Ovis aries: one gene and its partners. The protein of the gene in region 4 purifies or fractionates together with the protein of the main gene of each other region. This does not show direct contact. Links are inferred from orthologs where the notes say so. Each region holds a gene or a part of one and is shown on either strand. Other genes may lie near its edges.

Region 1 (4,157 bases), about 190 Mb from region 4:
CAGATGCTATGATCTTAGTTTTCTGAATGTGGAGTTTTAAGCCAAGTTTTTCACTCTCCTTTTTCACTTTCATCAAGAGGCTCTTTAAGTCTTCTTCACTTTCTGCCATAAGGGTGGTGTCATCTGCATATCTGAGGTGATTGATATTTCTCCCGGCAATCTTGATTCCAACTTGTGCTTCATCCAGCCTGGCATTTTGCATGATGTACTCTGCATCTAATAAGTTAAATAAGCAGAGTGACAATATATTGCCTTTACTATGCCTTTCCTGATTTGGAACCAGTCTGTTGTTCCATGTCCAGTTCTAACTATTGCTTCTTGACTTGCATACAGATTTCTCAGGAGGCAGGTCAGGTGGTCTAGTATTCCCATCTCTTTCAGAATTTTTCACAGTAAATAGGCATTATTATCGGAAAGAGGCCTAGGGGAGAGGAGGGGGCTCTTTCCAGCTCTGGAAACATCAATATTTTGAGCATCTCCACCCCCTACAAGGAGAAGGAAATGGCAATCCACTCCGGTACCCTTGCCTGGAAAATCCCATGGATGGAGAACCCATGGGGTTGCAAAGAGTTGGACACGACTGAGCGACTTCACTTTCACTTTCACGCCCTACAAGGGGGCAAGAATCTTGTCTTGTCCGCCTCTGATGCCCCAGCACCCAGGGCAGCAGAGTCGTGCAAGTTGCTTGCTTGCAGTTTACCTGACGCCTCACATTCATCATCTCTCTCGGAATAAGACAGAAAGACCTGCTGAAGACAGCAAAAGCGGGGCGTGGCTCCTCCGCCTGGTCTTTATTTCACTTCGGCGCTAGAGGGCTCTTTGAACTTATTGTTTCACCACTGCCCAAATTCACCGAAAACCTACCCAGCCCAGAAGAAACTGCCAAGAGAACTTCCTGACAGTGGAGGAGAACAGCACTCCCGCCGCAGCTCCTGGGCTGCACTCAAGGGTCCAGGGCGAGAGTTTCCATGGCAACATAGGCCTTGGCGCCAGGAGGACTTAGAGCCCCTGGCCGGGCCGGGAGCCGATAGTAGGCCCCGGAATCCCTCGATTCGCTCCCTGAGTTCAGTTCGCAGCCGCGCGATTCCCCGCACCTACCTCTTTTCAGGCCTGTTCAGTCCCTTTCCGGAACCTCGGCGCCCACCCCGAATCATCCGCTAAGCCAACTGGACTACACTTCCCACACTGCCTCTGAGTTTCTCTCTTCGCAGAACCTTGGCCTCCGCGTGCTTCTCTCTGAGGCTCTACAGATCACATCTCTCAACTCGCCCAGACTCCCTCCTACTACGATTCCCATAATGCTCCACGCCTCCCAGGATGCTGCGTCGGACCTAGGACCACTTCCGGTTGGTGACGTAGTTCCGCTTTGCTGGGCGCGCGGTGGACGGTCTGAAACGTAGAGCGCGGCTTTCGCTGAGGCTTCGCGTCCCCGGAGCCCAGCATGGCTTCCTCACGACCCTCCTCCACGGTACAGGTCTCATTCTGGCAGGGAGCGCTGAGGGGGTGGGGGGGTCCCTGCGAAACAGGGCCATTAGGGAACGGGCTACGGCGGTGGAGGGCCGAGGAGGAAGGCTTCGGTGTTTTCCTAATTCTTGGGTGCTTCCATCTGTTTTAGCTCGTTTTCACCTCTCACTCCAGCCCCGAAATGTAAATATCTCTTCCGTCTGGTTCAGAAACGGAGCTCTGAAAGGGAGTAGAGTCTTGGCCAAGATTTATGACACTTTCAGAACTCTTAATTGTAACGAGGCCTCCTAACTTATCTACTGCTTCATATCCGAAACGTTTGAAATGTATGAACAGTAGCTTTCTAACTTGGCCCCCGTACCATCGCGTTGGTTATTTCAGTTATCCTTGATACCCCTGTGATGAGCAGTAATTGTGGAAATTTCATAAAAGCCAAGAAGAGATTTCACCTGCTGCAGCCGTATGAAATACACATATTCAAGAGAAAACCTTTGACAGAAAAATCAGCACGAGAAATTGACTAGTTTTATCCATCTCTTCCTATCTACAAAACTTAAGTGATTAAGAGACTGGAACCACTCTTTCCCTCCACCCCCAGATTAAGGAAGACACATTTTAACTGGTGTCTGGTTTGTCCTTTGTGTGGGGAAGAAATAGGTTTGAAGCTCTAAATAAGCTTCATTCTGCTGCGAAACCTATTAGGCTGCTAAGATTAAGCTTTAGGTTAACCTAGGTCTTTGTTTTAGCAGGCAACCAAAACTAAGGCACCAGATGACTTAGTGGCTCCTGTTGTGAAGAAACCACACATCTATTATGGAAGTTTGGAAGAGAAGGAGAGGGAGCGTCTGGCCAAAGGAGAATCTGGGCTTTTGGGAAAAGAAGGACTCAAAGCAGGAATTGAAGCAGGAAACATTAACATAACCTCTGGTAAGATTCAAATTGTGAGTTCATCTTTACCTTTGGTGCTCAAATTTTCTGTAATGATTACCTTCTTCATCTTAAATATCACTAGTTTATGTCAAGAAACTACAACTAATAAGCTTGCACCTATCAAAGTCCATATTCTCCACCTACCTGACTTGGTCTTATCATCCAAAGAACCTTTTTCTTAAAACCTTTTATACAGTTTTCCTTCAGTAAACTGTTAGTAATTTTACTAGGAATTTATTTATTCAGTGTGTATTTGAATTCAGAGTGATTTCCTTTGTCTTCTGGAGATCTAGTGTAGTTCTGGCGTTAGCTTGGAGCTACTGTGTTTCCTAATATTCTCCTCTTTTTAGTTTTTCAACTGTTTTTCACCCAAAATGAAATTATCTCTTCTAAATTTTAAAGTGATAGCCATCTTTATTTTGAAAGCAATTAAACAATAAAGAAACATATGAAGTAGAAAAACCTGTAATCTGTATTAATTGGAGCTATGTCATTTCAAGAACTTAATAAAGCTATAAAAATACACTTTTTTTTCCCATAAATGAAATCACGATAAACCAATTGTTTTGTAAGCTGCGTTTGTCATTGTGATACTGTTAAATGGGCTTTCCTGATGGCTCAGTGGGTAAAGAATTCACCTGCAGTGCAAGACACAGGAGACAAGGTGGCTTTGATCACTGGGTGGGGAAGATCCCCTGGAAGAGGAAATGGCAACCTACTGCAGTATTTCTTGCATGGAAAACCCCATGGACAGAGGGGTCTGGTGGGCTACAGTCTACCAGCTCTCAAAGAGTTGGAAACAAGTAAGCCAGTAAGTATGCACACACTGTTGAGGGTATTTTTTCATGCCAGTAACTAGTAGTCTACTATATTTTAAAAATAAAATCATTCATGTTTGTCATAAGAAATTCAGAAAGTATGGAAGGGTATAAAAAGACTTCTGTGCAGATAGGACTTCTGTTGTTTCTCATCGACCCTCCCACACATTTTCTTTTCTATACGTGTGCACTTTTCATGAGTTTTAAACCTTTTATGTTATTTTAAACATGACTGCATCACCCTTGTACTTCTCACTTCTCATCCAAATGCTTGTTTTTTATGTGAGTTTTAAAACTAGCTACTAGATTATCCAAAAAGCCTTGTAGTTAAGGCTTTATCATTTTCATGGTAATTATTTCCAGTTCACTGTTAGATTTGTTAGTGTTCCTATACTGAGACTATTTCAGAGAGTAGCTTTGGCAACTGTTGAAATAATGTTTCTATTTTGCCATGGATAGAAAGCCTAGATAACTTGTTAAAAGTGCTCCATATTCTCATTGTCTCATGAAGGCTGTGTGTTTATGTAAGTGTAAGTTGCCAAATGAAACAAGATGACTTGAACCAGTTTCTGGCCTTTAAAACCTCATTTAGTTTTCTGTGTTTGGCATACTTTAATAAACTGAGAAACTAAAGTTTCTAACAGATTAGTTAACTGTCCCTAGAGGCATGCAGCGGAGAAGGCAATGGCACCCCTCTCCAGTACTCTTGCCTGGAAAATCCCACGGACGGAGGAGCGTGGTAGGCTGCAGTCCATGGGGTCACTAAGAGTCGGACACAACTGAGCGACTTCACTTTCACTTTTCACTGTCATGCATTGGAGAAGGAAATGGCAATCCACTCCAGTGTTCTTGCCTGGAGAATCCCAGGGATGGGGTAGCCTGGCGGGCTGCCGTCTATGGGGTTGCACAGAGTTGGACACGACTGAAGCAACTTAGCAGCAGCAG
Region 2 (3,500 bases), on a different chromosome or scaffold from region 4:
GTCTCTTCAACATCACTTTGTGAATTTGTATTTGGAGAAAAGATACATGAGGTGAAAAAAAAAGATATATCTGAACCCTGTTGAGTCCCTTTGGGGATGGTGGCAGGTGTTTGATTTGCACGGAAGACTGTACCTCGAGGTGCCCACTGGCCCTGAGGTAGTAACATGTTTATTACCATTTTAGTCTCCTTGCACTCCATGGTTATAATTGGAAGAAAGAACGTGTTTTTTTGAAGACATAGGCCAGGGGTCAGCAGACTATGACCATCACTTCATTTTTGTTAATGAACTTATTAGAACACAGCCATGCCCCTTCAGTTATTATCTATGTATTATCGGTAGTAGCTTTTGGACTACGGTTATAAAGTTGACAGACTATAGCCCACAAAGCAGAAAATATTTACTACCTGGCCCTTTACAGAAAACATTTGCCAGCATCTGGTAAGGGCTTTTTTTATCATATATCGGTTACCTCTCTTGATGCATACAAATCATAGAGAAATTTAATTGTTTTGTTTTTTAATTCTTGTTTTTGAAGAGCTCAGTTGGCTTTGTGGGTTCATTGTCAGTAGCCATGCCCTTAATTATCAATAGCAGTCATAATTTCAAGTGAGAAGTGGCAGTTGTAGCAGTTGGGGATAAGCAAATAAGTAATTTTTCTGATTTATGTAATTATATAGTCATCTAATCAATTTGTACTTTTATATTAGGATTTATAATTTGTACTTTTATAAATTTCCAATATGATTGATACTTGTTTCCCACTATTAATACTAAGACTTTTTGCTAGACATTTATTGTGAATAAGTCTTTCTCCTTTTTAGTATGTTAATAAGTGCTTTCCTTTGATTAAATCAGTTTGCTGTACAATTAGAATCACTATTGACAGTTTTATAGTAGTCTGAGATGGAAAGGTCATCATATTGTTTTTCCAGTTTGTTTATTTTAAGTGAAGGGACACCACTCTTTAAGAGCCCTGACTCTAGAGCTTTGGCTCAGATCCTGACTTCATTCCTCTATGACCTTAGGCATGGCACTGAGCCTTTGTAAGGCTCATTTTTCATGTTTTGAATGAGGATAATACTATTCATAGGCATGTTTCGAAGAATTACATGCAGTGGTATATGGAAAGTTGTTCATTAATTGCTTGGCCTATGGTAGGCATTCAGAAAATACTTAGCCACTGTTGCTGGTCTCATTATTATCATTCAGTATAAGTAGAGAAGTAGAAGAAATGATTGGCTTTCTGGAAGAGTAGGTATGCCTTCAGTAGTAATTTTATAAATAGTTAACTAGAAGGGAAAATATTACTACATAAATGAGATTAACCAGATTGGTGTTTTTTAATGACTAAATATTTCTTTGAAAAAAAAAAAAACAGGAGAAAGAGAAGGAATTAGAAAGAGAGCGAGAAAGAGATAAGAAGGATAAAGAAAAACTGGAATCTCGATCCAAAGACAAGAAGGAGAAAGATGAATGTACTCCAACAAGGAAAGAAAGGTATAACATTTCTCATTTAATGCCTATGCTGACTTTAGGATTTGGAATCATGTTTCATTTTGTAATATTTTCATCACTGGAACCAACAGATTGGAAAGGGTTTTTTTTGTGTATGATAAACATGTTTGGGTTCTACCTGCAGAAGGCAGAATTAGCTGAGCAAAGGGGCATTTGACACTAGGCTTAGTTACCTGGGACATCATCCCTTTACATGGTTCATAAGGTACCTTAGCCTTAGTTCAGGGCAAGAATTCAGTTACAGTATTAGGTATCGAACTGAAGGCTTAAATAACTAAGCAGCTTGCTAGATCTTACCTGTTACCGCCAATATAAGCTTTTCTTCTGTGCTGAGGCTGCTACCTGTAAACTTGAGTCTCCCAGTCCTGTATGTTAAGGGAGATTGTGTACTTAGGCTGTAGGGCTTGGTCCTCACTTTAAGTCTTCATTCTAATCAAAATAATTTCTCTTATAGTTTTTATTCTTACTTTTACATTTCCTAAATCTCTGATTAGTAGAGAAAGTTACTTTAGAATTGAGATTTTCATAATAAAAACCAAGCAAATGCAAATTAAAAAATTTTGGGTTAGTCACTCTTCATATAGTTACAAGATAACATGGTTATACTAATTGGTAAAGTAGTAAATCCATCACTTTTTTGTCATTTATTATTATCTTGATAAAATTTCAGAGTTATAGAAAAGTTTTAAGAATGCTATAAAGAATTCCCAGATAATCTTTCACCTTCGTTCCCCCAGTGTTAAAAGTATTTCTCCTTTTGCTTTATTTTCTTCTTCTTCTTCCTTTCCCCCCTTACCCCCAATCATTTAAGAATAACTTGCTTACATGATGCCCCATTTTCATACTTAACCACAGTAAGTTTCCAGATCGAACAAAAGGAAAAAATTTTCAAGAGCAGGAAATTAACATTTAAAAAAAACACTATCATCTAATCAGAGACCTTGATGGAATTTTGACTACTGTTCCAATAATCTCTCTTAAAGCAGAGAAAAATCCAATTTAGTTGAATTCAGCTTTTTGTGTCAGTCAGCCTATCTTTAAGACTTTTTGGTTCTTAGTGTAAAAGGCTTTGAATGTTGTTGGAAAATAACATTAATAAAGTTAGTGAAAGTAAAGATAGTGTAAACTGATAGGAATTAAAAGCTAATTTAGTAGAAGGAAAATGATATACCTGATCCTTTGCTCACTTATGGGATGTTTTCGGGGCTTTGTTCCATAGGAAAAGGCGACACAGTACGTCCCCTAGCCCATCTCGCAGTAGCAGTGGTAGACGAGTGAAATCCCCATCACCAAAATCGGAGCGATCAGAGCGTTCAGAAAGATCTCATAAAGAGAGCTCACGGTCCAGGTCATCTCACAAAGATTCTCCTAGAGATGTTAGCAAAAAGGCCAAAAGGTAAACGCAAGTCATTTTTTGTAATATTTCGAATGCCAGTTTCCTTGTCATTCCACCAGCTTTTGAAAATAATTTGTTTGGCAGCCATTTTTGAAAGGATTTTAGAAAACCAAACAGATATACTTTCATTTTAGATTCTTCCTTCCCATCTCCCCACCTCAGTCTCCTCATGACTAAAGCACAAGAAAGCTTAAACACGTAAAGACCAGCCAGGAATTTTAAACATCAGTTTTCTGTGAAGTAGGAATAGCTGCTTTTCTTTCCTTTCTGTTCTTTAGTTTCTGTGGAATATTCTTTAGTTTTTGTCAAGGCTGAAAGAAAAATACATGTTCCCTCCCCACCCAGCAGTAATCTTATTAGCAAGTTCTTGGGTAGACTTGTGGACATAAATACCATAGACTATTTCTTCAGCGTTTAATTTAGTGTGTTCTGTACCTTTTTCCTCCAAGTTCCAGAAAGGTGTTCCAGAAGTGTTTTGTTTATCTAGGTGTTTATAGAGTTTTCCTGAGAGCTGAAACTGCTTTTTATCCTAAAACGTTTTTATTGTAGCCATTTTTTAGTAAAATTTTTCTATAACAGATAACTC
Region 3 (3,175 bases), on a different chromosome or scaffold from region 4:
TGAAAAAACCAAAAAACCCTCCAACCTCAATTATACCTCAGTAAAGCTAGATGAAAAAAATCAAAATATCAACCATACCACTTTACTCCCTAAAAAATTAACATTTCATTAATACCAAATATGGAGTATTTAAATTTTCCTACTGATGGCAACTTTACATTTCCTGAATCATGATCCAAGCAGGGTTCGAACATTGTATTGATTATGTGATTATATGTCTCTCAAATCTTCTTTAACATTCCCACTCCATCTCCATTTATGTTTGCAGCTTATTTTTTTTTTAAGAAATCAGATCACTTATCCTGGAGTTTCCTCTGGTTACTGATTGGATTTCCAGTTATTTTTTAGCATGTTTCTCTAATCTTTTACTTCCTATAAACTGGTAGTTATATGTACAGAGTTGATTAGATTTTTGGCAATACTTCACATAAGAACCTAGTGTTAAAAAGTAATTTGAGACAAGTTCACATGTTCAGGTCTTTATAAAATTTAAAAAAAAATTGCTTTTTGTTATGTATTTATTAAAGACAATCATTTATAGTTTATAAAAAAAATACTGCCCTGATATACACAAAAATGTCTAGATAATGGTAATTAAAAGCAGCACTCCCACCCCCCTTGTGTCCACACCAATGTTCCATCTAGATTGGCTTAATCTTGAAGTGTAATCCAATAAGACTGAAGACCAAACACTTCAGGTCCTGGACAAGATAATAAAATACTCGTAAGCCTTCTGGATCCCTGTAATGCAAGAGGAAAAAGATGTTAAAAAAGCTGAAAAAACTCAGCAAAAATTACCATTTAATAACCCAGATTACTTACGTACCAGGATATTCCTCGTAAGAAGTATTTACAGAATTAAAACTTTGAAAACAACCAAATGTCCAAAAAGAAGAAAAATTCTATATACATTAAAATGGAATATTAAGAAGTAATTTAAAACATTAAGGTTTTTAAAGAAGGAAATGCTTATATTAAGTAGAAAAAAATCATGATTAAAGTAAGAGACTGTTGATCTCAATTCATTTTTTGTGCTTTAAAAGACTTTTTTAAAGCACAGGAAAAACACAGAAATACTTTAATATTAATGGTTATCTAACTGATAATTTTATGGGTGATTTTCACCTTTCTACATTTCTGTATTTCCTATATTTTCTACAGTAAGCACATATTACTTTCAGAATTAGGAAAACTTCCTTTTTAAGAGGTAGTGCTAAGCAGGACCAAGAGACTCACTCAACCTTACTATAGCATAAGTGGGTAAGAACAGGAGACTGTTCATAGGAAGACAACTATGCCCAACATGTACTGAAAGTGAACTATATCTAATCCCAAATCCTCAAAACACAAGAGACAAAGAGGCTGCCAAATTCTAATGATTCTGTGTATAGTGTATTCATGTCTCAATAATTTACCCTCGCAAAAACTAATTTTAAAATTTATATTCTAAATGATTTCAAGTTTCACTAAAGTCAGGCTTTAAGATGTGCAATCTGAATAACCAACACTGAGGAAGGTACCCAGACTCACTGATTTCATAGGTATTTCCAGCAGTTGCTTTTTGTTTTGGCCAGACTCTCCCACTTTGGCTGCCCCTATGGCATTACTCTGTGGGTGCATCACTGAGAAGCGCTCACTGACGACGACTGACTAAAACACCAAAAGCAAACAGAGCAAGCCCTTGAAGATAATCTGGGAGTCTCTCTATTGATGGGGACAAAGCTGGCCAGTTCTTAGATTTGTACCAGATTATTATCTTACCATAAGAGTCTCAATTTGATTATGGGTTTCATATCAGCATGCTCGAAAACAGACTATAAGGATCATGTGTACTTACTTGGATTGATTGACATCAATAAGGGAACCAATTTTTGATGTTGTGAAAGAAATGTGTTCGTCTCCAATGACAATTTCAAGCTCCTAGAAACATTGAAAGAAATATCAATCCGAATTGGTTTTCATCACACAAGAGAAGGGTTCATCATCTTCCAAATCACATGAACTCTAATACAGATGGCCACATTACCAAGACCAACCTGAGCCCTAGACTGTACTGGGTACTAGAAACAGATAAATGGTATGACCTAAATACTGGTTTAGTGCTTGAATAGCTTATACTTAGTTGTGTCTGTGAGGCTCCACATTTGGAAGAATTTACATTTGTGTTTCATATAGGAGTTTTCATTGTTAACAAGGTGGAGTAACATGTATAAATCTGTTTTACAAATACAAGAATCTAACATTTAAGGGCAACATTGGACAAGGAAAGGAATTCCAGACCTTGAGTTAATCCCAGCTTTTTCACTTACTAGTTGTATGCCCTTGGGCCTGAATTTCTAAAGAATGAAAGAAGTACCACAATCTTAAAAAGAAAAAAAAAATCTATTGGGCGGGGAATTGGGGGGGGTCTATGGGACAGATCAGCAAAACCAAAGATTTCTGCCCTTGTGGAACTTACAACCTATTGAGCTCTACTTCTTTTTAAAAAATAGTTATTTAATTTATTTGGCTGTGCTGGTCTTCATGCAGGATCTTTAGTTGAGGCATGTGGGATCTAGGTCCCTGAGCAGAGACCGAACCCGGGGCCCCCTGAATTGGGAGCATGGAGTGTTAGCCACTGGACCACAGGGGAAGTCCCCTGAGTTCTACTTCTTAACATTCAGACTTGAAATGTTAATATTTTGTACTTGTGTCAGTTTTTCAAGACAAATATTATAGTTTAGACCCACCTCCCACTCTATTCTCCTGCCTGCCCAGAAGTTGGAATGTATTTCCACTCATGGTTTTAGATTACATTGCAGTTTTTTGTTTTTAGCCACAGGGCATGGCTTGTGGGATCTCGGTAGTGAAAACGCCAAGTTCTAACCACTGATCACCAGGGAATCTCCATATTGAGTTAAAATTGGTTTGTTACATAAGTACAATATTCTATTTCTACTTCTGTATTATACTGGGCTAACCACCAAAAATTTAAGTTTCTGTCACCATACAGTTGATTCCCTTTACAAATTTTGTACACTCAGCCCCTTCCCTCTAATAACCACAACTCTGTTTTTTGTATCTATGTGGTTCCAGTTGGTTTGTTAATTTATTTTGGTTTTTGTTTATTTTCAACAAAGTTTTTATATGTAGATCAAGTTCATTATTTTTAGATGCTTGAGAATATTCATCATCA
Region 4 (2,626 bases):
TTACGACATGACATGGGCAAAGAACTCAAAAGATTGTCTTATTCTAACTAGCATGACTTAGAGGTAGCCTCACTCCCTACAAGTAGAAGTTTAAGCTACTTTTCCCACATTCTAAACAGAATTGTCACGAGTTGGATATGACTTCAATTACTTCCCTTAAGCAAATTCATAAGCATTTTGAGAAATCAAGAGATGAAAGGCGCTATGCAAGTGCAAAATAATATTAAAGACAGTTCAGCAAAGGTGCTATATTTTCTAAGGTGATGGAAGGGTTGTGCTAGTTTGAGGTTAACACCCTCAAAGCTACTCTTCCTAATGTCTTTATCAACAGAGCAATGGAATTTTGACAAAGATACCATCACTTTATATAGCTTGTATTCTACTAACTACTCTCTATAAACCAGGTGACAGAAAACGATATTAAGCCACTTATTCTACAGAAACCAGTACTTTATCAAAGTTCCGCATTTTACAAGTCATGTTCAAAAAACACACACAAGTTAGCATTTTGTACACAAACGTTTATTTCTCAATTAAACATTCCCTTTAAACACAAGGAATGAATTCTAAATCTTCATAAACATGAATTAAAAATGAAAGCCCTCCAGTATAGTGTGTGTAATCACTGTGTTCTTGGTCACTACTGGCGTTTACTGCTTAACATCAAAAACAAAGGTTATTTAAAAATCATGCTACTGGATTTCTAGCTCTTCCTCTAAGACCAGGTCTACGCTGATCTGCAATGTTTAAAAGTTTACATCACCAAATCAAAGCAAGTTTAAGGTGTGAAACAGCTGTGCATTAAACACAAAATAAACAATAAAGTTACAAGATATAGTCAAGTTCATAACGAATATAGGTGTTCTTATCATCATTGTAGATTCTTGGGTAATGTGCTATGAGAGCATCCTGTGAACCGATGTAGATGGAGTTGTAAATTTTCCAATACACATCTCTGACTTTCCGGGCTGGGTGAAACAAACCCTAGAATAATTAAAAGGTTATATTATTTCAAGAAATACATAACCTTAACACAACTAACAAACAAACCATAAAGATATGGTTCTAAACATCTCCCTTTGAGAGAGGAAAAAAAAAGATGTCAATTTCATAAAACTGAAGTGGGCAAGGACAAAATCTAATCTTCTCTCCCCTCATAACTGTTTTCCCATATGGCACAAATATATCTTCCCTAATGATAATTAGGAACAGTGACTTAATTCAACTACATTATTTTTTCAATGAATACTGTTTAAAAAACCTTTAACCTACCTGTAAACAATACTGTAGCATTCTACATGGTCCAATAGCAACTCTCAGACCCTCCAGGGCCCCCATAACTGCCTGAATTACATGGGGAGATGTCTCGAACACATTGGGCCATACATAGTTCAACAAGTGATTCAGCGAATCTTCGCAACCAAATCCATAAACCCCAAGTGACATGTGTTGCACCACTGCACTAGCAGTCTGTCTGTGTACAAGGTCCCTGTAATGGAGAGGGGAAAAAGCTTTTTATTAAGATGCAGTCTTAGTTTCACAGAAAATACTTGCATGCCTGTTAGAAACTAAATCACAAATTCAGTGCTTGGAATGGATGCAGAGTCATCCTTACACCTCGTGTATCTGACATAGGATACCTTAAGAATGACTGATGATTATACTTGAGAACTTTTGCTTTGATGATTCAAACCTGCTCACAATGGCTCAAAAATAAGCTATATTTTTCTTTCAGAGTAACAGGAGCAAGAAGGCCCAGCACAATGTGTATTTTTGCAAGCTACTAAAAATAAGAGAGGATACATGACTCTTAACATACGAACAATTAACAGTAATATCTCATTTTAAACTCTGTAAATTTAAAATCTTCGGAAGTAATTCAATACTGTATACAGTAAATAAATAAAATGAGATTAAATCCCTTCCCTTGTGGTTTTTTAAAAAGATTCATTCAAGAGTTCAATTTGGGGAAAGGAAGAGAAGGACTAATAATTTTTTGAAACCCAGAAAAAAGAACTTTTATCACCTCCCATGTTTTGACTGACTTTATGACAAATCATTGACTTATTTATTCCATAATTTATTCAACTGAGTACAAGTATCAGATAAAACGTCTATGATAGGTATAAAAACAAGTTCACACGTTTTACCCTCGAAGGCAAGAAGAGAACCTGAAAGGTATTTAAGAGAAAAAAATACTTTTTTCTCTTAAACCTTAAGAGGAAAAAAAAAGCACCTGAACCGACTTAGTTACTAGCATCTTTATTTCTCTTATTTATTATAATAATCTATTAGGCATAGATTATAATGAATCTGTATTCCTCCTTGGTAAATTTCCCAACTAAAGTAATGTTTCTTGGTATTAGGACTGTATCAATCACCTCCAGCAATACTTTATCAGGGGTCACCATCTGAATAATTGGGGGCCTGCAGTGACAATAGTGTGGCTCTGGCAGGCTATGTTCAGTAGTTAAAAGTGTCTCTGCTTCACCTGCCATAACAAAAAGCTAAAAAGATCAGGTCTCTCTGTTACATCAATAAGCTCATGCTCATCATTTTCTTTGTAATTTTTAAAACAAAAGTTGATTGGAAATTCCCTGATGGTCCAGTTGTTAGGACTCAGCGC
Region 5 (3,965 bases), on a different chromosome or scaffold from region 4:
GCTGTCCAAGAAATGGGGGCACCAAATGCATTTCTGGACAAAGAGGGGGAGAAAACAGGAAGGGACTGAGTGGTCCGAAGGGTCTCAAACCTAGGGCCTGACCCAGCAGTGGGAAGAGCACCGGCCTCCCAATCAGCCGGAAGGCCTGGCCTGCCCCCTAGCCAGGGCAAGGCCATGCTCTCCTGGGCCTCAGAGTCCACTTCGGGAACTCAGCTGGTTGGCTAGGATGATTTACATGACACTTCCAACTTCAATCAGAACATGTACTACGCGAAAGCCTCCCCAGACAGCTACCCCAGAAGCTGCTTGTCCCACAAGAAAACACAGAAATGAAAAGGAGACAGGACTTACTTGGTCTCCTCAATGCTGAGTGACGAGGCATCGCCTGAGCTAGTTTTGGAGCTGGCAGCTGGAACAAGAAGCAGCAAGGCTCAGGGGCAGAGCACTGGGCCCAGGAGCCGCAGCCCTGGCTCCAGGTGCAGGGCCGAAGACGAGGTCAGCACCTCGGCCTGCTTCCCCCCAACCAGGAGCTCCTTCCATCCGAGTCCCAGGCTCTGAGAACGCTGCTTCTCCCCACACCTTCCTTTCCTGATCCAAAGGGTCCAGCTTTCTACATCCTTCACTTCGCCACCTCTCCACTTTTGCGTATCCTGTGCTTTCAACCTACACTGCCTTCTCTGGCCTCAGGCTGTTAACAAAATCCTATCAGACCCCACTTCCTCCCTGGAGTCCTGCTCCATTACTGATCAGCATGACCTGCTCTCCTCTGCACAACACTGCCACAGTCATTTCTGGACCTGCTTCTCCTCACAGGGTAGGGACCATCTTGGCAGCATAACTATGCCCTCTGTGTAATTCATGCAGTGAAGAAATATACTTATTGGAGCCTCTTCTGTAATGTTGCTGAGATCACTGAGATACAGGAGCATTTAGGACATCCTCTACTCACCTCACAAACAGCAAGTGACTTCACTGAACACCACATGCAGAAGTCAGATTCGGACTCAGACGGAGCTGCCCCTACCAGGCGCCACCACAGCTCATCGTTCCAGCATGTTCGCCTCACAACCTACCTCTGTACCTTATCCCACTTGAACTCTGAATCCCAACCACTCCAGGCTCTCTCCAAGATCACCAGCCTCCTTATTTCAAAACCCCAAGGATTCTTTTCAGCTCTGGTTTTCATCTGGTCTCCAGCAGTGTGTGACACAGATGATCACTCCCACAGATCCCCTGACACGAGATTCTATGGTTTTCCTGCTTTGGGGGACAGCCTACCTCCTTTTTTCGTAGCCTCCTGCTCAGCGTAATACTAAGACACTAGCATTTATCAGGTTCTCCTACCAGTAGGCTTCCTACTCCTAGTCTCTCAGTGGACTTCATATGCCACCTAAACACTCATGATTCCCAAACTGCTCTATCCAGCCCAAGCCCTGAGTTTCTCCATGCACATAAAATTCAACACTCTCCAAAACGGAATTCGGTTGTCTCCCTCCAAAAATCTGTTTCTCTTCCAAACTCCTGAAATTAGTCGACAGCACTGTGCATGTGTGCTTCGGTCACTTCAGTTGTGTCCAAATCTTTGCCACCCTGTGGACTATAGCTCTCCAGGCTCCTCTGTCTATGGGATTCTCCAGGCAAGAATACTGGAGTGGGATGCCATGCCCTCCTCCAGGGGATCGTCTCAACCCAGGGATAGAACCCTTGTCTCTTTTGTCTTCTGCACTGCAGGCAGATTCTTTACCACTGAACCACCAGGATAACATCAGCAGAGATCACTACCACTCAACTAGTTGCTCAAGTCAAAATTCAAGGCACACCCTCAATTCCTTCTTCTCTTTCCAGCCCTCATCCAAATGCTAAGCTCCATCACCTCCTCCTCCAAAACACCTCTCCAATCTGTCCACGTCTCTCCATCCCATGGCTAATGCCTCGGTGCAGGCCACCATCAGCCTTCATCTCACCTCCAGTCTCTACTGCCCTTCTCCCAGATCTTTGCAAAATATGAATGTGATCAACTCACTCGTCAGTTCAAATTCATGGCTTCCTCTCAAAACAAGTTTCACTTTCTTAACAGGGCCTATATGGCCCTTAGTGTTCAGATCCGTGTCTCTCTTACAGACTGCTGTCTCTCCTATGAACTCTACACAACTTTGACAACATGTTTGTTCTTGCCTCTGCACATGCTACCATCGCTTCATTCATTCAACACATTCAGGGAGGGGTCGTGAGGAAAACAAAGAAAATCTCTACCCTCAGAGAGTTTAACAAAGAAAGACAACCTTCAGTCCCAAATAGCCATAGGAAGACCCTTTAGAAAGTGCTGACGAAAAAGCCAGAGGATGCCTCGGCCTGGTGCGCTCGGCCTCCATACCCAGAGCCCACATACCCGAGGCACCTCCGGTCGCCCCGCCCCCTGCACAGGCCCCTCACCGGCCTCGTAGCCATCATCCCGCTTCTCCCGTTTCACGCGCCGCTCGGAGGGCTCTGTCTGGCTGCGCTCCCGCCCGTGCGTGCTGCTGCGAGCCTCATTTTCGGCCCCGCGCCGCCCGCTCCCGCGCTCGCTCCCACGCTCTCGGCTTCGCTTCCGTCGTTCGCCGCCGCTACTGCCGCCGCCGCTGCTCCGATGCTTGTGTTTTTTGTGCTCCCGGTGCCTAGGCGGCTGTTCGGTAGCGCCCCCGGTGCTGGCCGCTGCTGTAGTTCCTGCCGCCTCCTTTTCCCCGCGGTGCTTCTTTGACGACCCCATGGTGGTCTGTCTAACCCCGAGCCCGGCCGCCGCCGAGCCCCGACGACGCAAAATGGGAACACTTCCGGGTCGCCCGACAGCCGGTGTCCTGTTGCCGGAAACCAAGAGCGGCTGCTTCCGTCGTTTGCCTCGGAGCCTGCCCCAAAGGCTCATGGGAAGGCCGGGATCTGAACCCGACTGCGCAGTCGCAGCCAGCCTAGCCGGGGTAGCGGTCTTTGAGCCGGGGGGCCGACTGCGCATGCGCGCCTCAAGGTTCGCCACTGGGTCTGGGGAAGACAGTATCCCAGAATGGGACCTAGGGACCATCCAAGCCAGGATCGCCAGAGCTGGAAGCCCCTTCCCGGCTTCCCTCCGCTTTCACACCCTCAATTACGGATGTTCACTGGCTCACGGACTGTCTCTGGGCAGGGTCCACCTCTCCAGTGGCGTCCTCCTAGTGTACTGCCTGGGGTCGTGGCTCCATCGGGTGTTAAACGACGTAGCATGTTCTCCCGAGGCCCCCAGCTCCACAGTCCAGCTTCCTTCCAACCCCTACATCTAGTATTGTCTGCCAACGCTGCCTTGCCACGCTCCTTGGATTGGGTTTTTAACCTGAGCTCTGCGACTGCCCCGGAGGTCGAGTTGAGCTTCTGTGTATCTGTAAACCCCCTGAAATCGAATGCAAAATTTGGCACATCCGTGTGTGTGTGAGCTTTTCTTTTTCTTTTCCTTTGAGGAGACTGTTAACTTGTAGTTAAAAGCTCAGTTCACACAATTCCTCCTGACACCCCCACTTGCCAGTTGCTCGATCTGCCAGCCCATCTGTTAGGGTGTGATTATGCGCCCTTTTAAAGGCCCGCCCCCTCCCCCACAGGACTGGGCGTTCCCAAAGGCGGAAGGCATTCTGTCCTGTTCACTCTTGAATTTCCAGGACCCAGCATTGGTAGGAGTTGCAGCTGTTGCTCTTGGGAGATGCCCCACTCGCTCCTCTGGGCAGAGACACAGCCGTGTGTGCTGGGCGGGGGCCGTCGCAACAGCCAGGGTTCCTGGGGGATGTGAGCACAAGCCAAGCGTGCTGCATACCCACCTGCCACGGCCTGCTCCCAACCCACAGCCACTTCCCACCACCGCCAGAAATCCCACACCGTGTTTTCCACAAAGCATTTAATTTTTATCTCAGGGACTCAACTCTTGGTCTGGATTTGGGGCGAAGTGCTGGTCAGCCTGGCTGCCAGTGTGT
Region 6 (3,500 bases), on a different chromosome or scaffold from region 4:
GGACACAGGTGTGATCCCTGATCAGAGAACTAGATCCCGCATGCCACAACTAAGGCCTGGTGCAGCCAAATAAATAATAAAATATTTTTTAAAATAAAAAATTTTTCTGGAAACAGACCAGAATAAGATTAGAGTCCCAGAGGAGAAACAATAAAGCCCAGATGAGTAATCATAGAAACCAAGATAACATCAATAACTTGGTTTGAGCCAAGTGCCAAACTCTCACATTACAGTTCCCCTCTTACAGCTTGAGGGGACCACTTAAGGATGGAAATCATGTCTCCCTCTAGCTGGACTTTTATCTAGTCATGCTTCTGCCCAGTCAGGAAATTTCTCTTGAAGAGCTGAGAATGTCCCTTCCTCTCACCTTGACAGAGTGTCTATGGGAAATTGGGTTGATCAAAGGATCAAAGTAGAAAGCTGGCAAATCAGGATCCTCAGTTTTGATGAACACAACATTAGGAGTGTGGTACCTGAAATGAAACAAGAGTCAGCCAAGGTGCTCCCCGCTGGCCCAACCGAAATGCAGCCACCCCTTTCACCCAGCTGGGCTCCAGCTCTCTCACCAGGTGAGGTGGACATGGTGCGGCAGGTTGTTATACAGGTAAGGAAACGCAATCTTGTACTCGGTGCGGATAGGCTGCCGGATGATGATCTTGTTAATGTCGTTGAATTCATTCCAGTCTTCATCCCTAGGGCACAGAATCAAGGGTGAGCAGCTGAGTTGGGCAGTCTGGAAACTACAGTGGGATCTAAAGGATCAAGATTAGATTTTACAATGGCTGCTTCATGTTGATGTTGGGCAGAAACCAACACAATTCTGTAAAGCAATTCTCCTTCAATTAAAAAATACATTTAAAATTTACTTTTTTAATTTAAAAACACTCTACTCTCTCTAACTTACTGTAGGTTGATGTCTCGAACAAGAGGCTCAAATTTGGGGCCTCCAGGAATGGCCATATTAAGTGCCTTGGATGTAAAAAAGGCCTTCAGATCAAACAGATAGAAGTAATTGTCATCAACCAAGTCTGTCAAGAGCTGATTGGCCAGGCGGTAGAGAGTGGACATCATAGGCAATGTGAACTGCCAGCGCTGGTAAGTGGAACCATTTACATACCTAGGGAAAAAAGAGAGGCCCATATAAGTTCAAGTAGGTGTACCAGCTAGCCAGGTCATGCTACCTACTGGTCTCCCAGGACCGCTCTGGAGTTCCAAACCCTCACAGGAGTGGTAACTCCAACTATCACTCACTTCCGGCTATCCCTTAATGGCTGATGGTCATAGAACCAGTCCAATACAGGGGCATCCTCCTCAGGGTCCAGCTCTAGCTGAATGGCTTCCAGTGGCTCAACATCTAGGATATTGTCAGCATAGTCCAAAGGTGGCTCCTCATCATCAAAAGGGGGGAAACGCATCCTCTTGAAATGCCTCCTGTCTCTTTTTTCCCGACGCATCATAATCCACATTGACCTGGAAGTCGACAATGTCACGCAACAGTTTCTGCACGGTGTCCCCTCAACTGCCACCACCACACCCCACATTCCAGCCCTTCTCACCCCCACTGGGAGATGTAGACAGGTTCAATGACCCAGGGGATCTCATTGACAAAGGAAATGGCTCCGGTGATGTGGTACAGCACAGGCACATCCCGGATCTGCTCCCAAGGCATAGGCATGTTCTCCAGGAGCTTGAGGACTGCATGTGGCATGTACTTGAGGGCACTGTAACAACAGGAAGAGAGATGATTAGAAACGACAAGGTGTTCTGCTACCTGAGCCATGCAGAGAAGTAACAAGGTACCACAGTATCCGGCCTTACAGTCTAAACTCCTAAGTACAGTACACAGGCCCTCCACAGTATCCGGCCTTACAGTCTAGACTCCTAAATATAGTACACAGGCCCTCTGTGACCAGGAACTCTGCCTCCCCACCTCCAACAGTGCCACTTTTTTTTCTTAAACATCACTGTCCCACAATACTGGGTTTCAGTCCCTCTAAATCATCAGCTATCTCCCTAAAAACAGCTTTTAGGCTATCTCACATCCTATCTCTCTATGAAGTGAAGTCGCTCAGTTGTGTCCGACTCTTTGCAACCCCATGGACTGTAGCCTACTACGCTCCTCCGTCCATGGGATTTTCCAGGCAAAAGTACTGGAGTGGGTTGCCATTTCCTTCTCCAGAGGATCTTCCTGACCCAGGGACCGAACCCAAGTCTCCCGCACTGTAGGCAGATGCTTTACCGTCTGAGCCTAAATAATAAAATATTCACTACACTTTATTTTAATCATTTGTCTGTTATGTCAGTAGGCCATAAGCTCCAGAAAAACTGTTGCTTCCTGACTGTTGCTATATCCCTGGCACCTAGCACAGTTCTCAAATACTTTTGAAATAAACACAACTTCCGTTGCTGTCTTGGACTAGTTCATGAAATGGCTAACACTTCTGTGTAAAAATGAAAAAGGATCTGCTAAGGTATTTATACCTGTACTCACCCACCTTGGGAAAACAAAAGGACACAAAGACCTCAGAAAGTAACTACCCTCAAACCTGAAGATTCTTGTCACTTAGGAATTACAGGCAACAAGAATGTATGCTTTAATTCACTCAAAGATAAAGATGTCTTATCATAGTGGCAACAGGACAAATTAAAAACTCCAGTCCCAGATCAGGGAAAAGAAACAGAACAACAAAGAACATAACTGAGAACATCTTACATTGTTGGTAGTAACATAAATTGTTACAGTCACTAAGAAGAACAATATGGAGGTTCCTTAAAAAAACTAAAAAACAGAGCTACCATACGAGCCAGCAATCCTACTCCTGGGCATATATATAGAAAACCATAATCTGAAAACAAACACGAAACCCAATGTTCACTGCAGTACTACGTCCAACAGCCAGAACGTGAAAACAACCTGAACACAGATCAACAGATGAGAGGATAAAGAAGACGCAGCACACGCACACTCAGTCCAGTCCAGTCGCTCAGTCGTGGCCGACTCTGCGACCCCATGAACTGCAGCACGCCAGGCCTCCCCGTCCATCACCATCTCCCGGAGTTCACTCAGACTCACGTCCATTGAGTCGGTGATGCCATCCAGCCATCTCATCCTCTGTCGTCCCCTTCTCCTCCTGCCCTCAATCCCTCCCAGCATCAGAGTCTTTTCCAATGAGTCAACTCTTTGCATGAGGTGGCCAAAGTACTGGAGCTTCAGCTTTAGCATCATTCCTTCCAAAAGAACACCCAGGGCTGATCTCCTTTAGAATGGACTGGTTTGATCTCCTCGCAGTCCAGGGGACTCTCAAGAGTCTTCTCCAACACCACAGTTCAAAAGCATCAATTCTTCGGCACTCAGCTTTCTTTATGGTCCAACTCTCACATCCATACATGACTACTGGAAAAACCATAGCCTTGACTAGACAGACCTTTGCTGGCAAAGTAATGTCTCTGTTTTTGAATATGCTATCTAGGTTGGTCATAACTTTCCTTTCAAGGAGTAA
Region 7 (4,201 bases), about 39 Mb from region 4:
GCTTCTGGTTCTCAGTGTTTTTTGATTATCTCCTGGGTGGGCATCCAGTGGAAGGTCTTGATGAGTTTGTGCAAAAGATCCATAGAGGCATTAGGGTGGCTGCAATTAAAAAACATGGAAAACAACAAGCACTGGTGAGGATGTGGATAAATTGTAACCCTCCTACATTGCTAGTGGGATTGTAAAATGGTTCAGCCACTTCGAAAAACAGCTTGGCAGTTGCTCAAAAGGTTAAGTATAGAATTATCATATGACTCGCAATTTCAGGGAGAAGGCAATGGCACCCCACTCCAGTACTCTTGCCTGGAATATCCCATGGGCGGAGGAGCCTGGTGGGCTGCAGTCCATGGGGTCGCTAAGGGGCGGCGGACACGACTGAGCGACTTCACTTTCACGCATTCAAGAAGGAAATGGCAACCCACTCCAGTGTTCTTGCCTGGAGAATCCCAGGGATGGGGCAGCCTGGTGGGCTGCCGTCTATGGGGTTGCACAGAGCCGGACACTACTGAAGCGACTTAGCAGCAGCAGCAGCAGCAGCAGCAGCAATTTCAATTCTAGGTACATACCTCCCCCCAGTAGAAAACTGGTACTCACACCTTCATAGCAGAACCATTTTACAATAGCCAAAAGATAGAAACAACCCAAATGTCCATCAACTGATGTGAATAATGTCATCAATTAGTGAATAAACTAATTGTGGTATACACGTATGATGGAATACTATTCAGCCGTAAAAGTGATGAAGTAATGGTGTGTGCTATATTTTGAAAGAACCAGGGAAACATGCTAAGTGAAAAAAGCCAGACACAAAAGGTCACATGTTGTATGACTGCATTTACATGAAACATCCAGCATAAGTAAGTCCATAGAGACATTGGCAAGTATGGGAAGAAACTGCTTATTAGGTACTAAGTGTCCGTTTGGGGCGATGCAACTGTTTTGAAACTAGACAGGTGGTGATTACACAATACTGGGAATATACTAAAGACCACTGAATTGTTCACTTTAAAATGGTTAACTGTATGGCATCTGTGCATGCGTGCTAAATCACTTCAGTCTCCGACTCTCTGCGACCATATGGGCTGTAGCCTCAGTCGTGTTGTACTCTTCGTAACTGTAGGCCGCCAGGCTCTTCTGTCCATGGGATTCTCCAGGCAAGCATGCTGGAGTGGGTTGCCAGGCCTTCCTCCAGAGGATCTTCTCAACCCAGGGATCGAACCCCTGTCTCATTATGTCTCCTGCTGCTGGTGGATTCTTTACCACTATCGCCACCTGGGGAACCCCAATTTAAAAGTTTATTTAAAGGTACCTGGCTGGGCGGCGACCCCTTTAAGAGACGCAAGGAAAGGGCCGGGGTTAGAGAGGCGGGCCTGTAAGAATCACGTGAGGTGGCGCCTGCGCAGAAGAGTCACGTGGTCGCTGGGCCGGGGAAATGGCGGCTCCAGGAGAGAGCGGGGCTTCGGGTGGAGGAGGCAGCACGGAGGAAGCATTTATGACCTTCTACAGTGAGGTAAACACGGAGTGAGGAATGGCGGCACCGGGGCGACCCCGCCCGGGGCTATCCTCCCAGTGGGAGAAGGCAGTGATCCTCCTGGCCTGGACCGTTGGGCGGCCCCTCCTGTCTGGCCTTTTGGGAGGTGGGGGACTCGGGGTGTGTGTGCGTCTCCTTCTGATACTGCAGGGGGGATCCCCTGGAAAACTAAAAGGGGGCGGGGGTCTGACGTCTGAGGGGAGGCGTCGAGTTTGGCCAACGAAGTGCTTGGGCGCGCGCAGAGTTCCCCAAGTTCGCGTAGTCGGATGCTTTCTGCGGCTGGGAAAGTGGGTCTGCCTAAGGCTGGTTAAACGGGTTACCGGTCCCCGATTGTATTCAAAACGGAAGCACTCTCTCCTCTTAGTCCTCTGTAGTGAGTTTTAGTAGTAGTTATTTCTGACATTCGAGAACGCTAGGCATTGTGCATCATGCCTTGTAGGCACTGTCTCCATTTTACAGATGACATACCTGAGGTTTAGGGAGGTGAAATAATTTGTTCAGGGTCTTAGAGCAGATGATAGTTTGGTATCATGTTAGGACCGAAGTAAGTTTGGTTTGAGCCTCATTTACTGTCGCATCTCCATCGGGTGCTGCGCAGTAGTTACTCAGTGAATATTTGTTGAGTGGATGAATGAATGAGTGGATGAATGAATAAAGAAAAGGATGGCTCTTGGAGTCATAGGACCTCGGGTTGGATTTTTGCATGGCTGTTAACGTGACTGTGACAATTCTTTCAAGCCATTGATTTTGCTAATCAATTTTCACGTTTGTAGAACGAAGTTTTTTATTAAAACGAGTTTTAATGAGCGTTAAAAGAAAGTTTCATAAAATATAAAGAAGAAGCTACTTTGTAAAAGTTAAAAACAAGGCTGGATGTGAACTTCTTTAGCTTGGTGTGGATTTGAGGAATGGAGTTGCTCGCCACCTGGCTGTGATGTATTCAGAGTTAAGCACCGTGTTACATTCACCTTTTATCTCTGGTATTTGTAACAGTGCTTGCTACATAGTTGGGTTTCCCTAGTGGCTCAGACGGGGAAGGCAGTGGCACCCCACTCCAGTACTCTTCCCTGGAAAATCCCATGGGCGGAGGAGCCTGGTGGGCTGCAGTCTATGGGGTCGCTAAGAGTCGGACACGACTGAGTGACTTCACTCTCGCTTTTCACTTTCCTGCATTGGAGAAGGAAATGGCAACCCACTCCAGTGTTCTTGCCTGGAGAATCCCAGGGACGGGGGAGCCTGGTGGGCTGCCGTCTGTGGGGTTGCACAGAGTCGGACACGACTGAAGCGACTTAGCAGCAGTGGCTCAGACTGTAAAGAGTCTTACTGCAGTGCGGGAGACCCGGGTTCCATCCCTGAGTCGGGAAGATCTGGAGAAGGAAGTGGCAACCCACTCCAGTATTCTTGCTCGGAAAATCCCATGGATGGAGGAGCCTGGCAGGCTACACCATGGAGTCCGACAGGACTGAGCGACTTCACTTTTGTTACATAGTAGTTTCTCCGAAATAATACATTTTAAAACAACATAGTACATCCATTTATAGTCTACTTTCAAAATGTCTCATTCACTTTGAAGTGTTAATTTGCTGGTACCAGTGTTTTCTGGTGGCTCAGATGGTAAAGAATCTGCCCAGAATCTGCTGGTTATATGGAAGACCGGGGTTTGAACCCTGGGCGGGGACGGTTCCCTGGAGAAGAGAACGGCTTCTCTCCAATATTCTTGCCTGAAAAATTCCATGGACAGAGGAGCTTGGCGGGCTACAGTGTGTGGGATTGCAAAGAGTCAGACACGACTGAGTGACTAACAATAATGGGTACTGAACAATTATAGGGGAACTTGTTTTAATTTCTTAGTTTTTTTTTTTTAAAGCAGTCCTGGTTTGTTTAAATTTTAATGTCAATTTCATTTGTGAGCTGTATTGCACAGATGACTTTTTTTTTTTTTTTTTTTTTGTGGGACGGAATATTTTCTCCTGGGGGCAATGACTTATGACTGTTTTGCGGTAGTTTGCGCTCGTCTTAGCTACTCGTGGTTATGAACAGAACGGTTTTCATGAAATGAGTTACATGCTCATGGGCTATGGGTTTCATATTAGGTACTGTACAAACATCATGGGTGTCTGATTTTCCCTTTTGTGGCCCCATTGAAATGAGCCATATCTCTTAGGAAACTCCAGCAGTGCTAGAGCTTGCCCTGCAGACACCTTTTTTTTTTAAATCTACATATTCACTGGCATGGTTTGTTTAATGAGAGAAAATGTCTAAAGGAGGATCATTTAATCATCATTCAACTAATGTTTATTGAGCACCTGATATGCACTTCGTCCTGTATTGTTTAGCTCCTTGGAGAAATGGTAGTTGACAGCAGAAAGAAGAATCCCGTCTTCATAGGGCTTTCATCTTACAGAGAAGGCTGAATAATGAACAGATGTATAATATAGTGTTAGGTAGTGCTAAGTGCTATGAGGAAAAATGAGACTGGGAAAAAGAGAGTACGGTCGAAGGTGGGGAGTGGCGTGCTGTTTTACAAGAGTTAAGAGGGAAGGTGCTGAGAAGGAGTAGCTTTTCCTGTTATTGAAATCCTTTCCAACTCTGTTTTGGCCATAGAAATAAAGATAGTATATATACTATGCCAGAGGTTCATTCCAACTAAAATTTCAGTTCTGACAGTGG

The links.
Region 1: the proteins of SF3B1 (region 4) and PRPF4 purify together in Homo sapiens (co-immunoprecipitation; 3 studies listed by BioGRID and IntAct, with this or other methods). This does not show direct contact. The link is inferred for Ovis aries from reciprocal best matches to the Homo sapiens genes SF3B1 and PRPF4.
Region 2: the proteins of SF3B1 (region 4) and U2SURP purify together in Homo sapiens (affinity purification with mass spectrometry; 4 studies listed by BioGRID and IntAct, with this or other methods). This does not show direct contact. The link is inferred for Ovis aries from reciprocal best matches to the Homo sapiens genes SF3B1 and U2SURP.
Region 3: the proteins of SF3B1 (region 4) and MAGOH purify together in Homo sapiens (co-immunoprecipitation; 3 studies listed by BioGRID and IntAct, with this or other methods). This does not show direct contact. The link is inferred for Ovis aries from reciprocal best matches to the Homo sapiens genes SF3B1 and MAGOH.
Region 5: the proteins of SF3B1 (region 4) and SART1 purify together in Homo sapiens (co-immunoprecipitation; 4 studies listed by BioGRID and IntAct, with this or other methods). This does not show direct contact. The link is inferred for Ovis aries from reciprocal best matches to the Homo sapiens genes SF3B1 and SART1.
Region 6: the proteins of SF3B1 (region 4) and PRPF8 purify together in Homo sapiens (affinity purification with mass spectrometry; 5 studies listed by BioGRID and IntAct, with this or other methods). This does not show direct contact. The link is inferred for Ovis aries from reciprocal best matches to the Homo sapiens genes SF3B1 and PRPF8.
Region 7: the proteins of SF3B1 (region 4) and DNAJC8 purify together in Homo sapiens (co-immunoprecipitation; 4 studies listed by BioGRID and IntAct, with this or other methods). This does not show direct contact. The link is inferred for Ovis aries from reciprocal best matches to the Homo sapiens genes SF3B1 and DNAJC8.

Annotation. Positions count from the first base shown.
Region 1 is NC_056055.1:10,447,135-10,451,291, reverse strand, and holds the start of PRPF4 (U4/U6 small nuclear ribonucleoprotein Prp4), read left to right. Parts: upstream 1-1,357; 5' UTR 1,358-1,441; coding exon 1,442-1,474; intron 1,475-2,210; coding exon of another isoform or gene 2,211-2,213; coding exon 2,214-2,391; intron 2,392-4,157. UniProt on the Homo sapiens protein: Plays a role in pre-mRNA splicing as component of the U4/U6-U5 tri-snRNP complex that is involved in spliceosome assembly, and as component of the precatalytic spliceosome (spliceosome B complex).
Region 2 is NC_056054.1:246,575,021-246,578,520, reverse strand, and holds part of U2SURP (U2 snRNP-associated SURP motif-containing protein), read left to right. Parts: intron 1-1,381; coding exon 1,382-1,500; intron 1,501-2,737; coding exon 2,738-2,914; intron 2,915-3,500.
Region 3 is NC_056054.1:27,767,754-27,770,928, forward strand, and holds the end of MAGOH (protein mago nashi homolog), read right to left. Parts: intron 1,921-3,175; coding exon 1,838-1,920; intron 742-1,837; coding exon 642-741; 3' UTR 501-641; downstream 1-500. UniProt on the Homo sapiens protein: Required for pre-mRNA splicing as component of the spliceosome. Plays a redundant role with MAGOHB as core component of the exon junction complex (EJC) and in the nonsense-mediated decay (NMD) pathway.
Region 4 is NC_056055.1:199,700,664-199,703,289, forward strand, and holds the end of SF3B1 (splicing factor 3B subunit 1), read right to left. Parts: intron 1,490-2,626; coding exon 1,273-1,489; intron 985-1,272; coding exon 826-984; 3' UTR 501-825; downstream 1-500. UniProt on the Homo sapiens protein: Component of the 17S U2 SnRNP complex of the spliceosome, a large ribonucleoprotein complex that removes introns from transcribed pre-mRNAs.
Region 5 is NC_056074.1:40,495,641-40,499,605, reverse strand, and holds the start of SART1 (U4/U6.U5 tri-snRNP-associated protein 1), read right to left. Parts: upstream 2,801-3,965; 5' UTR 2,747-2,800; coding exon 2,434-2,746; intron 410-2,433; coding exon 352-409; intron 1-351. Other genes in the region: TSGA10IP (testis-specific protein 10-interacting protein), read right to left, coding at 3,639-3,771. UniProt on the Homo sapiens protein: Plays a role in mRNA splicing as a component of the U4/U6-U5 tri-snRNP, one of the building blocks of the spliceosome. May also bind to DNA.
Region 6 is NC_056064.1:22,672,302-22,675,801, forward strand, and holds part of PRPF8 (pre-mRNA-processing-splicing factor 8), read right to left. Parts: intron 1,722-3,500; coding exon 1,557-1,721; intron 1,471-1,556; coding exon 1,252-1,470; intron 1,118-1,251; coding exon 905-1,117; intron 693-904; coding exon 567-692; intron 474-566; coding exon 368-473; intron 1-367. UniProt on the Homo sapiens protein: Plays a role in pre-mRNA splicing as core component of precatalytic, catalytic and postcatalytic spliceosomal complexes, both of the predominant U2-type spliceosome and the minor U12-type spliceosome.
Region 7 is NC_056055.1:238,878,464-238,882,664, forward strand, and holds the start of DNAJC8 (dnaJ homolog subfamily C member 8), read left to right. Parts: upstream 1-1,401; 5' UTR 1,402-1,432; coding exon 1,433-1,510; intron 1,511-4,201. UniProt on the Homo sapiens protein: Suppresses polyglutamine (polyQ) aggregation of ATXN3 in neuronal cells.